Linked DNA regions of Saccharomyces cerevisiae S288C. The protein of the gene in region 4 binds, or shares a complex with, the protein of the main gene of each other region. Each region holds a gene or a part of one and is shown on either strand. Other genes may lie near its edges.

Region 1 (3,131 bases), on a different chromosome or scaffold from region 4:
TGGTTGCCCCAGATGTGGGTCCTTTCACCGTCTATGGGCCCAAATTTGATGACGAAAACTTTTACTTAAAACATGACAGGCCTGAAAGACTCGCAATGGCCTATTTTGGACCTGATTCTAACACCTCGGAATTCATCATCACCACTAAAGCCGATGGAAATGAGGAATTGGATGGCAAAAGTGTCGTGTTTGGTCAAATAACTTCTGGTCTAGATCAACTAATGGATGCTATTCAATACACAGAAACAGACGAATATGGAAAGCCTCAGCATGAATTACGGTTCCTGTATTTCGTTCTAGAAATCTTAAAAATTAGTAACATCTTAGATTTGCACGCTGCGTACACAGAAAAAGTCGAGAAGTTTAGAAATGGCGATGTGTCTGTTGGCTCCACTTTGGAAAACATCTTCCGTAACGATAAAGCCTACACACCTTTAACCACCTCCACTGGAACCACCGCCTATGATTTAAACCACCCAATTTCCAGAGCCTTGATGTGTTTAACTGTTCTTGGCCTTTGTTTCATTGCCTACAAGGGCATGCACGAAAAGCCTCATACGGTTTCATTAAGACACAAGTAAGCAACTTCTTTTCGATGGCTTGATGACCACATGGCTATGATTTTAATTAATATATATACATGACAATTATTTTTTTATACATTAGCGATACCTAAAATTTCTTGGTTAATACCCTTTTGACAGCCTCTACTGCATTGCCCTTGATAATAATTTTTTTCGATTGCATCACCACAGACCATGATTTTTTGGGTATGAAAGGCAGTTGCTCCTGCAAGTCATTTCTTAGTTGAATTACATCTCCTTCAATCTTTCTGATCTCCGTGATAATCTTGTTACCTCCATTTTTATAAGCGGAATACACCGGTAGATTTCCGGTCCTGCTTCTCTCCACGTAGTAGGTCTTTTTACCAAAATTGTTGTTTCCTATGAGCTCATGCATCTTCACGTCTTCCAGCTTTGGAAATATTGGCGCCTCAGCAGCTTTATTTGAATTAGTGGATATACATCTTATCGTTTGGTATATCGAGGCAGTGGCAGGCCCTGGAAGGCATTTACCCCTACCAAAACATCTAGTAACACACGAACTGATCATAGTTTTGCTCACACGCTACCTTGGAGTAAGTTGCTTTAGGTAAACGGGCACTTCTTTCAAAAGGTTTTCCTTCTTGCTGGAGCTATACTGCTTATAGTACCATATTTTAAATTCATACCAAGCCATTCGTACGCGATGACCATTATAGATCGACCTTGCGACACCATCATATTTAATATTCAAAAAGAAAAAAATGCAGTTCTATATCACAGTTATATAATATTTATATGTGCATGTATGTTACTTGTCTTTGCACATAACTCAATGCGTCCACAATCTTACCATCTTGTCTTTCCCACCACTACACACTCTTTTACCGTCGACACTCCAGTCGACGGTATAAACTTCGTCTTTATGACCAGGGAGGTCAACAGAAAGTTTTCTAGTTCTTACATCCCACACTTTCAACGTGGTATCTTTGGAACATGACACCAGTAGTCGGCAGTCCGATGACCACGCAACCTGGTATACGCTGGCTACATGCCCTCTAAATGTGGAGATAAACTTACCATCTCTACCGTCCCAAAGTTTGATAGAGTTATCAAAAGACGCTGAGACAATATACCTACCATCAGGGCTGAACGCCACATGATTGACTAATTTTTGGTGACCGGTCATTCTTGCTATAGGCTTGGTAGATTTTAGTGGGTTCCATAAAAACATGGTATAATCATCGCTTGCAGTAACCATCATTTCTTCTGAATTTCCATTCTTTTTACAGATTTTTTCATAATTTTCCAATGCCTTTTTCTGGGCTTCTTCTGGTGTAGAAGGCTTCTTACCTGTATGATCGAATGCACCAATGCGCAATGCGTAATCTGTAGATAAAGATAAGTGATTAACCCAGTGCGCATGCGACTTCAAAATGTTGATACATCTGCCCTGCGAATTGATGTCCCATACACGTACGGTTCTATCGTGAGAGCCACTATACAATAGACCTTGGCCGCCCCATTTGACACAAGACACTGAATTTGTGTGACCACTCATCGTATACTGGCAAACTCTGCTCACAGTGTCCCAAATCTTAATAGTACCATCCTTAGAAGATGAAGCTAATCTTGGTTTGGAGCCCGGCTTCACAAGATGTATAGGTTCCCAACTTAAAGAAGTGATCCACTTGGAATGACCTCTGAGAGCATCACCTAGACACTGACCGCTTTTTGGGTCCCATAATCTTATGGTATTGTCCATGGATCCCGTAGCAATTACTTCTCCATCGGGGGACCAGGAAACGCAGAGAACCCAATTGTAGTGACCCTTTAGAGTATGCATTGGCGTTTGGGTGTCACAGTCCCAAATCCTTGCAGTATTATCACCTGCACCGGTTACCATCCTAGAACTCGTATGTGGTGCGAAGGCAGAACACAAAATTGTGGAACCGTGACCTGCAATGGCTGATGAACTTCTAGTTACCGGCTTGACTTTGAAAACTGCTCTTGGCGTATACAGTAGCGTGATCTGATCTTCTGTACTGTTATAGCCTGGTTTTATTAATGAAGAATATAGGTTATCTGTTATATCAATCGTCTTCACAGGGTCACTGGCCTTCTTACCTTGAATTGTACAGCTGAAGGTATATGGCACTGGATCGTCTGAAGTACCGTTCAATTGATTTAAAAGTTCTTCTAACTGTTTCTCGGAGATAGCACCGGGAACTCTCAGGGCGCCACCTACATTGTCACCAGTATCTAAAGCTTGGAACTTGATTGAAACATTGGGTAAATCTTTCGGAATAATAGCTACTTCTCTGGGAAGTTGAGCCTCTTTCTTTTGTTTCTTAGAAGGTGGAGGAATCAGGGTGGACATCTGTATATTGTGTTAGTGTGTGTTTATCGAGGTTACAAATATAAAAATCTTGTGATATATGTCTTTTAAAGATACTCTTTTTGAAGCTCATCGCATTTTTTTTTTTTTTTTCATTTTAAAATTTTTCACCGGTTTCTCGGGTAACAGCTCTAAATGAAATCTTGCCTTCATCACCATTATTGAATTACATTACATTATATATCGTAGTA
Region 2 (3,939 bases), on a different chromosome or scaffold from region 4:
GACTTACCGACATTGGGAGCACCAAGTAATACCAGCTTTATTCCATTTTGCAGTATGGTAGACTTTTCGACTTTTTGCATGAAAGTAACGATTTGGTCTCGCAGACATATGATGTTCTTTTCTACATTATGGAAAATCTCATCCGTATTCTGAATTTCTTGGCTATTATCGTCGGCAAAATCTATTATAGCAGTCAACTGTGCCATATTCTCGATAATGGTTTCCCTCCAGTTCTCAAATAGGATTTTGTTATCCCCATTGAAACTTGACAAGGCAGATCTCCTTTGAGATTCTGTTTCCGAATCAATAAGATCTTTGATACCTTCAAGTTGGGTAAGGTCAAACTTTCCATTTTGAAACGCCCTCCTGGAGAAGTCGCCAGGCAAGGCAAATCTTATATCTTTACCACTGCTTCTATCGTGTAACGAGCCGATAGCTTTCAGTATACTATTAACTACGGCTTTCCCGCCGTGAACGTGCAGCTCTAACACATCCTCACCAGTAAATGAATAAGGAGCTTGGAAATATAGCAACAACGATGTGTCTAATAATATTTTACTTTCCTTTTGATCATGAGGTTTCACACTACAAGAGGACGGCGAATAAATGTTCCTCAAAATAGCCTTCCTGATCGGCGGAACTGTACTTGAATCAACTAGTCGATTGTAAATGTACTTAGCATGGGTACCAGATATTCTTATGATTGCTATCGCAGAGGTTTGATTTGCTGGTGTAGATAATGCATATATGGTTGGTTGCTGGAAGGTATAAGGCTTTGCAAGTCCGGAGTACCTCTTTAACGACCTTCTTACGAGAAAGGATCTCGAAATAAGCCGTGATTGTAAGAAAGATGCACTATTCATAAATAGAATACTTATTAACCATATATAACATTCTCTAAGTAGATAGCAGTCGTATGGAATATTGCTGTATCTTCATGTAACCTCGTAAAAGACGTTATATATGGGTTAGTTAGCCAAAAAAATAAAAAATGGACGAGTCCGGAATCGAACCGGAGACCTCTCCCATGCTAAGGGAGCGCGCTACCGACTACGCCACACGCCCGATTTGTATTGAAGACTTTGAAGAAGTATAGAAAACATAAATGTAGGATACATTTTTAAACTTTTATTAATGAAACCAATTTGAAGACATGTGGCAACCCGTGTTACTCATATATATATATATATATATATACAACTATCAGAAGATTATCAATCTAATAGATCTTTAACGCCGCCTCAGTACTTTCTGAACTGCAAGTAGAATATTTTTTTCTGGAATCGGCACATTCACATTCAGACGTATACGATGTCAGCACTTAGATTGCTACTATAGCAACTCATTTATTATTAATCCCCATTCGTTCCGATATGGATGGCATATTATTACCTTTAAGAAAGGTGGAGTTCCAAAGATTCATCAATTTTACTGTTTATAGAAAACGTTACGGAAAGATGAAAAGTAAACACCAAGGTCTCTTATGCCTTGACATAAAGAATACGGAATAGAATGATTGTAGACGCAACAAGATGAATAATTAATGGCAAATTATTATCCTATTAGATATAAATTACAGTCGCTTTAATGCGTGATTATAGAAAAGGTCCTTACAATATGCAGCCGGGTAAAGAGTGAAGTTTCCCGCCTCTGAAAAAGAGCAATACTAAAATAATCTGAAAAGAATTGGTGAAAAGAAAGCTGTAGTTATATATACAGAATGGGCATAGTTTTGAAAAGAGCAATAGCAGCAGGTATGAAACCTTTTCCAAACAGTACGTGGCATTGGAGCCGAACCATAAGACCTTTCTCACAGCATTTGTCTAGCACATGCTTTCTGCAGCAATCCTCGAGATTTACTTCAAAACGATACCTACACCTTTCAACATTAACACAACAAGAAAAGCGCTTCCTACCCGAATCTGAACTTGCTAAATATAAGGAATACTACCAGGGTTTGAAGAGCACTGTAAATGAAATACCTGAATCAGTGGCCTCTAAGTCACCTTCGTTAAGAACGCTTCATAAGAGATTACAATTACCTAATGAGTTGACCTATTCAACACTTTCCAGATGCTTAACGTGTCCCTCTGCAAAACTACCCGACAAGATAAATAATCCTACAAAAGGTGCAGCTTTCGTTAATACTGTACCTACTAATAAATACTTGGACAACCACGGTTTAAACATCATGGGAAAGAACTTGCTCTCTTACCACGTTACAAAATCCATTATACAGAAATATCCGAGACTACCCACTGTGGTTTTGAATGCTGCGGTTAACGCATATATATCAGAGGCGGTACTGGCGCACATTGCTAAATACTGGGGTATTGAAGTAGAAACTACGTCTGTTTTATCACGCTATTTGAAAATGGAACCATTCGAATTCACTTTGGGAAGACTCAAATTCTTTAATAATTCATTGAACTCTAAGGACGGTATTGAGCTAATCACCGGAAAGAACTTTTCAGAAACAAGCGCTCTTGCAATGAGCGTGAGGAGTATAATAGCTGCCATCTGGGCAGTAACGGAGCAAAAAGATTCTCAAGCTGTTTACAGATTTATTGATGATCATATAATGAGCAGGAAATTGGATATCACGAAAATGTTCCAGTTTGAACAACCTACAAGAGAATTGGCTATGCTATGTCGTAGAGAGGGGCTGGAGAAACCTGTATCGAAACTGGTCGCTGAGTCTGGTAGACTATCGAAATCACCTGTCTTTATTGTGCATGTATTTTCAGGCGAAGAGACATTAGGTGAAGGTTATGGTTCCTCATTAAAGGAGGCAAAAGCAAGAGCCGCTACTGATGCTTTGATGAAATGGTATTGCTACGAGCCTCTTGCTCAACAGGAACCAGTTATTGATCCTGGCACTGTTGTTGTTTAGTTCTGTGTTTGCCATTTTGTAGATAGAGAACTCCTTAACCAGAATACATTCTTGTACATATATATATACACGTTGGTACGATATGCGTTTACTTTATGTGTACTAAAATATATAAAAGTGAACAGAAGCATGTTCCTTGTTTACTACTATATCTTACCAGGAAACAGACAAAAAAAAAAAAGACTTGCTATATTTAAAGAGAACGCACATTTGTGAGGGGATAATAACACAAAGCAAAGTAATATAGGGTAAATGGACCTCCTAAAATTCAGTTCTCTAGCTATATCAGAAATTAACTTCCTGCACGAGTCATCGTTTGACTCGATAGACCACTCTTGGTTTTTATTGATAGGTTGCAAATTGGATCAAGATGATGAAATTTACATCCCAATAAATGGTAATGAAGCAGAGTCTCAATGGTATATTGAAAAAGTTATACGAATCCCGATGCAGGAAAATGATAAAATAAATCAAGAACGCCTAGAAAGGAGAATTAACCTAACAAAAGTGACTCAAAAGGACATTTGTATACTGGGTATTCTTGATTTATGTCAGTTAGAAGAGGACGAAAATATCACTAATAAAGTGACGGAGAAAGTGCTCACCCAATTGACCGCCTTGGCATTGAAATATCTGATAAAATATAACGTGTTTCGCCAACATACCTCCTTCCAAGAAGCTGTCAATAGTTTAAAGGGTTATAAAATTGAAAATAGTGTACAGATAGGCGCGGAAATTATCCTTGATTTTCTACAAGATAAAGTGCAAATTAAGGATGTAAATGACAGATACCAAATTCCCACACCTAATAATACCGTAGACCCAGGTTTTGATGAGTTTCAATTAATTGACATGAAGGATAAAGAAATCAATATTCAAAAATATAATAATAATACCATAAGAAAATTACTCGAGAAGATTAATCGAATGATAATATTCTTGAAAAATTATGATGCCACTGACAAGCCTTTCTCTTCCACGCAAGATGTAATACTTCGAAAAATATCAATGCTTGTAACACAACTGCAAAGAGGTGGAACAAGTGA
Region 3 (2,480 bases), on a different chromosome or scaffold from region 4:
GCAATATAAAAATGGGAACTCAATAGTTTGGGATATGACGCTATCTTCATTGTCGATTTTATCGTTTATCAAGGAGATTTTAACAGTGTTTTGCCCTTTATCTTTAGAGAACTCCCAAAGCTTGCTTATTCCATCACCAGCGGATGAAATTATGTGCTCTGCACCAGAAGTTCGTGAGCTTTTTTCCAATAACTGATTAAACCTGGGACACAATTTATTAATAGAATAAATAAACCCATAATGTGCATATTTAATAATGTTTTCGGAGGGAACCTCTATGATGGCAGCGCCACAGTTTTCTTGTAGAGAGGTCAATGAAGTTTGAGATAATGAATTTGAACTATATCCAGTCGGACCTAACGAATCAAAGAACTTATCATATCTTCTATGCGGTAATTTATTGATATTTTCTACTCCATCAGAGGATTTTTTTTCAATCTTCTGAATCAAGTTCTCAACATATAGTAAGCTTGCATTTTGACAGCCAAAGACAATAGTTTCCAACGAATCCAAATATGCCAATGAGAAAATATCACCAATATCGGTCACTGAGTAAACAGTGGCTATTTCAGTAACAGGTAGAAAGTCATCTCTAATGGTCTTTTCGCCAATGGACCAAATTCTCACCAAAGAATCTGCGCCGCCTGAAAATAAAAAGTTTTCATCTTCTGATCCTGTCAAGCACAAAACCGAAGATCTGGTATGCGTTTCCTCTTGTGATTCGCCTAGTCTAATCGTATGTATTAGATTATATGTGGGAAGATCAAAAACCAATATCTTGGAGTCTTGGCTACCAGCAAACAACAATCTTTTTTTTGGAAATGCAACAATGGATAAGATGGAAAAAGCGTGATTCCACCTATGAATTAGTTCAGAGTGCAATGCGACACCCCTGCTATCGTACATGATTTCACAATTACTTCTGCCCTCGTTTTTCACTTTTCCTTACAGGGTTGTTCGGTTTCTCGAAATAGTTTTTCACTTAAATAATTCAGTTACACACATTTTATTGATATTGGTGCCACAGCTTTTCGCGGCGCACAATGCGATTATCACTCAAGTTTATGGTAAAGTCGGTATTCCCTCTCATGAGAAAAAAAAAAAAAGATACCATCTTCATTGAACTTCTAATTGCAGCAGTAATTGTGAGCAATGCTCAAGAGCTTCCTTACCATATAACAAAACATCGAAATCAGAGGATCATTCTAGATCAAAGTGAAATGCCCTTAACTATGAAAAGGAATACGAAAATAGCTGTGAAGTGTTATTATAATTATTAACAAGGTTAGTAATCTTTAAACAGAGCCTAATACTTGCGGGAAGGACTTTCAATGTTGCTTCACTGCAGCTTGTTGGCGGCTATTTGATGATGATTTTCTTGAGATACATAATTATTATTATCACGTTTCACGGATTATTTTTGAAAAGCTAGAATTAATACAAAAGATAGGACTATTGAAGTAGTATACACCAATTTTTGCTTAAAAAAACTACGGGAATCAAAGATTACCTTGAAAGTGAGGACAGCAAATAACTAAAATGAAAGGCTCACCCATTTCTCAATTTAGTAAGACCTCTATTAATGCTCTTACCAGGCCTTGGAAGAAATACAGAGATGGTGAATTATTTTATGGGTTATCAAAAGTTGGGAATAAAAGAGTGCCGTTGACCACGAAGCAAGGTAACAAGACGATGTACAAAGGGACAAGAGCTTCAGGGATTGGTAGACATACAAAATTCGGTGGTTATGTGATAAACTGGAAGAAAGTCAGAACCTATGTTACCCCAGATATGGTTAATTTCGAATTAAAGCCCTACGTTAACGCAAATGTACCACCTCTAAAACACGAATTTAAAGGATTTAGCGGCGGCCCATTAGATCCTCGTTTACAGTTATTAAAGATAAAAGAATACATAGTAAACGGGAGGGTACAAAGCGAAGGGGCCACCGACACTTCATGTTATAAGGAGCGTGGATAAGTTATTTATAATCTTTCTTCAATATGCGTGTAAATACTAGTTTTCGACTTTATAGGTAGATAAAAAATAAAACTTAAGATTGTAAAACAAAATCAAATAAAACATGGCTTAGACATTGCACCATATGTCATCTTTCTTTGAGTTAAATATAGATACATATAAATCTAAAAGAAGAGCAAAAAGTTCGTACGTATATAAATGCGCGTAGCAGAGAGAATTTGATCTTCTTTTTTGTTTTCCTTCTTTTTTTTCTTTTCTTTGTTTACATAGCACCTGGAACACCCAAGACTTGATTCAAAGCACTTTGACCGCCACTTTGTTGGTATTCAATGGTAATGACTTCTAGCAAAGAAAACCCACCAGCAATGCCAACAACTATACCAGCAGCTTTACCTTTCAAACCCAAAGATTCACCGATAACGGTGATCAAACTTAAGACGGATGCACCCGTAACAGCTGCGATTGGAATGACTTTGTTCAATTCTTTAGCGACATTCTGT
Region 4 (3,627 bases):
ATTTAGATTTTGGCACAGCATACGAATTGGGCAAGCAAGTGTTTGAAATTTGTCAAGAAGCGGGCCAACATATGATGAAGGCGTTGGGCGATGAGCATTGGTTAACATTTTATCAAATGGGGAAGTTTGTCGATCCAAATTGGGTGGATAATGAAATTCCCACAGAGATAATTGTTCTGCAGATGAGCATCTTGGGCCGCTTACTGGAGGTTTGCCCCCTTGAGGAAGTCGAAATTGTTACATCGCAATGGAGCACACTAGAATTGGAGCTAAGCGCCCGTGACCTGGTGAAAGACAAGTACGCACTGGACGGACAGAACGACAATAAGAGTAAGGTAGGCGGCATTGCTAGGGAGATTTTCCACAACGTGACTAATTTCTGAATACATACAGCGTATAGCTATATAAAGGTGTATGTATGTGTGTATGTATGTGCGAGTGTGTGTGGATATATATATATATATATATTTACAGGAGAGAGGGTAGGAAGCCCACGGGAATCATGCAGTTGCTTGCTCCACGGAGCTTGCATGAATTAGCTGTTTCAAGTATTTTCTCACGGTGGGGAGTTCGTCTAATTTAGGGACTTTATTATCTGGGGACTTTCTCAGGTCTTTGATGGCGACACAAGCCTCTTGAACGGCATGAGGTTCGAAGTCGGAAGTGAATAAGATGAACGACTCGCCCACGTCTGTGATCGGTTCTTGTGATATTTCGGATATGAGGTCATTGGAGTCCTTGAACCGCTGTAGTTTTAAGTTTGCCAAGAACTTGATCCCGTCGATGAAGTTAATGTCGACTGTATTATCCTGGATGGTTTCCGATATGCCGAAAATGGCCAACTGGAATCGTGTGAGCATGGAGGCGACTTCGTCATCAGGGATATCCTTGTTCAAGAAGTAATCGTTGGCCAAAGTATCCAAGAACTTTTTCCTCTCCGATTCATCCTGTAAAAATTCGCGTGAAGCGCTATAGGCCAGCTCTCTTTCGTTAAGTACATGTCTTATTTGCCACATGGTGGTTCTGATAGAGTTAGAGAGCTCACTGAATTCGTCATGCGTGGAGCCAACAATGTTTTTCAAGAGATGGTTTTCGCGAGCAAGCACATTTTGCTCCCTGAGGCAGTTGTACCAAAGGGAATGCAAGTCGTTAAAGGACTTGTGCCTCAACTCTGGGATGCTCCAGGGTCTGATATGGCTGGAAGGCGGCAAGTCGTCGGCGGACCTGATGAATTTCTTGTTGGAGAAGAACTGCCACAGCGGGTGGTCGTCGGGACAGCGCAGGTTTGAGGTTGTTGGTGGGATTGGTTCGGTAATCCTCAGGTTGTTGGAGTGATGAGTCAATTGAGTGGGCGGTCTTATTTTGTCTTTGGGAAGCACCGGTTGTTTTGGCTTTGGTTTGGTAAACTTTGTTCTGGCACGCAGGGGCCCTCCTTGGGAGTGGAACGATCTCTTCCACATTTTTATTATATTTTTATGGTATTTTTTTCTAGCCGCAGAGATAGAATGGTACTCTCTTACCAGGGCTCGATAGCTTTCAGGGCAATTCTTTTAGTTTGCTGAAATGATATTTTTTCTTCTTCCTGATGCGCCCTTTTGGCTATCCGTGCTGTGTGATAGGTCGCGATATTGAAAGAAGAAAAAAAGCAAGAAAGCTGAGGTTTGAACAAACAAGAGGCAGGATGTTTCCATCCATTCTAGCAACCAATACAACAGGGGAGAGACACGCAGATAAATACACACACACACACAACATCACGCACACTCAAGAAAATGGAGACACCTTTGGATTTATTGAAACTCAATCTCGATGAGAGGGTGTACATCAAGCTGCGCGGGGCCAGGACGCTGGTGGGCACACTGCAAGCGTTCGACTCACACTGCAACATCGTGCTGAGTGATGCAGTAGAGACCATATACCAATTAAACAACGAGGAGTTGAGTGAGTCCGAAAGACGATGTGAAATGGTGTTCATCAGAGGAGACACAGTGACTCTAATCAGCACGCCCTCTGAAGATGACGATGGCGCAGTGGAGATATAAGCAAAGAGGAGGAGAAAACAAAGGGAAACAGTACGTATTTTTTTATTTTACTTTTAGTATATTAAAAATGTGTAAGATATAAAACAAAAAAAAGAAAAGAAACGAGAAAACATAAAAAAAATGCGTATTAATATTATAACAGATCGATACACTTGGCAATGGTTTCGACACCGGTTTGCAAGTCCTCTTCGGAGATGACCAAAGGAGGAGCCAATCTGATGATGTGGTCGTGGGTGGGCTTAGCCAAGAGGCCGTGATCCTTCATCAATAGACACAAGTCCCAAGCGGTCTTACCATTGGCCTTGGATGGGTCGATTACGATGGCGGTAAGCAGTCCCATACCACGCACCTCAGAGATTATACCGTTAGATTTGGCTTGGAGAGCTTTCAATTGGGCGATGAAAGAGCTACCCAGTTGGGCGGCTCTTTGGCACAGCTTCTCGTCGCGGATGACCTCGAGGGCGGCGATGGCAACGCGGGAAGCCAAAGGATTACCGCCGAAAGTAGAACCGTGAGATCCTGGGGTAAAGCAAGACATGATGTCGTGAGAAGACAGAACACATGAGACGGGAAGAACACCACCTGAGAGAGCCTTACCTAACAAAACAATATCAGGCTTGGCCTCTGCCTTGTAGTGGTCGTAGCAAAGCAACTCACCGGTTCTACCGATACCGGTTTGAATTTCGTCAACGATCAATAGGACGTTGTGCTTACGGCATAATGCGGAGACCTTTGGGAAGTAGTCTGCGGGGGGCACGACGATACCGGCTTCACCCTGAATTGGCTCTAGAATGATGGCGGCAACGTTCTTACCTTCAGGAGATTCCAAGATAGGGACGAAATCTTCTGCGTGGCCGTATCTGATCTTGTGCACGGAGTGACCACTGGCAACGTTAGGCACGAAAGGCCCGAAATGCAACTTGGAGTCCTCGTAGTCGGTACTCAAACTGATAGCACCGAAGGTTCTCCCGTGGAAGTTACCCTCGGCACCCAGAATGATGGCTTTATCTTGAGGGATGTTCTTCTTCATGTACCCCCATCTTCTGGCCAACTTCAAAGCAGTTTCCACGGCTTCTGCACCGGTGTTCATGGGCAAAACGGTTTCGAACCCGAAGAATTCGGTCACGAACTTGGCGAATTGCGCGTAAACATCGTTGTGGAACGCTCTGGAGGACAATGTTAGTGTTTGTGCTTGCTCCGTCAAAGCCTTGATGATGTGAGGATGGCAATGGCCCTGGTTGACGGCAGAATAAGCGCTCAGGAAGTCGAGGTACAGCTTACCCTCCGGGTCCCACACATGTGCGCCCTTAGCCTTGTGAAAAACGACGGGCAAGGGGTGGTAGTTGTGGGCGGAGTATTTGTTTTCCCATTCAATGGTTTGCTTGGAGGAGAGGGTAGCTTCGGACATTGGTGTTGTGGTTCTGTGCTGCTGTGGTGTCTTGTGGTGTAGTATCCTTTGCTGTAATACGAACAACCGCCATATAACAACAAGACTCAACGTATGGTGGCCGCAATTTATATATGCAATCGAGTCAGCCAGTCAGCCGCTAAGGGCAAGGGCACGCGACTACGGCGTCGGCTAGCG

The links.
Region 1: MRPL4 (region 4) and IMG2 share a complex: the UniProt entries of both Saccharomyces cerevisiae proteins name them as parts of the mitochondrial large ribosomal subunit.
Region 2: MRPL4 (region 4) and MRPL3 share a complex: the UniProt entries of both Saccharomyces cerevisiae proteins name them as parts of the mitochondrial large ribosomal subunit.
Region 3: MRPL4 (region 4) and MRPL27 share a complex: the UniProt entries of both Saccharomyces cerevisiae proteins name them as parts of the mitochondrial large ribosomal subunit.

What each region holds. Positions count from the first base shown.
Region 1 is NC_001135.5:239,431-242,561, forward strand, and holds IMG2 (mitochondrial 54S ribosomal protein mL49 IMG2), read right to left. Parts: upstream 1,114-3,131; coding exon 673-1,113; downstream 1-672. Other genes in the region: peptidylprolyl isomerase family protein CPR4, read left to right, coding at 1-581; RSA4 (Rsa4p), read right to left, coding at 1,375-2,922. UniProt on the Saccharomyces cerevisiae protein: Component of the mitochondrial ribosome (mitoribosome), a dedicated translation machinery responsible for the synthesis of mitochondrial genome-encoded proteins, including at least some of the essential transmembrane subunits of the mitochondrial respiratory chain.
Region 2 is NC_001145.3:320,155-324,093, forward strand, and holds MRPL3 (mitochondrial 54S ribosomal protein mL44 MRPL3), read left to right. Parts: upstream 1-1,720; coding exon 1,721-2,893; downstream 2,894-3,939. Other genes in the region: MSS1 (Mss1p), read right to left, coding at 1-863; CSI1 (Csi1p), read left to right, coding at 3,146-3,939. UniProt on the Saccharomyces cerevisiae protein: Component of the mitochondrial ribosome (mitoribosome), a dedicated translation machinery responsible for the synthesis of mitochondrial genome-encoded proteins, including at least some of the essential transmembrane subunits of the mitochondrial respiratory chain.
Region 3 is NC_001134.8:766,701-769,180, forward strand, and holds MRPL27 (mitochondrial 54S ribosomal protein mL41 MRPL27), read left to right. Parts: upstream 1-1,539; coding exon 1,540-1,980; downstream 1,981-2,480. Other genes in the region: glutamine amidotransferase subunit DUG2, read right to left, coding at 1-906; SSH1 (Ssh1p), read right to left, coding at 2,243-2,480. UniProt on the Saccharomyces cerevisiae protein: Component of the mitochondrial ribosome (mitoribosome), a dedicated translation machinery responsible for the synthesis of mitochondrial genome-encoded proteins, including at least some of the essential transmembrane subunits of the mitochondrial respiratory chain.
Region 4 is NC_001144.5:1,012,324-1,015,950, reverse strand, and holds MRPL4 (mitochondrial 54S ribosomal protein uL29m MRPL4), read right to left. Parts: upstream 1,461-3,627; coding exon 501-1,460; downstream 1-500. Other genes in the region: SEC39 (Sec39p), read left to right, coding at 1-383; U4/U6-U5 snRNP complex subunit LSM3, read left to right, coding at 1,773-2,042; CAR2 (ornithine-oxo-acid transaminase), read right to left, coding at 2,176-3,450. UniProt on the Saccharomyces cerevisiae protein: Component of the mitochondrial ribosome (mitoribosome), a dedicated translation machinery responsible for the synthesis of mitochondrial genome-encoded proteins, including at least some of the essential transmembrane subunits of the mitochondrial respiratory chain.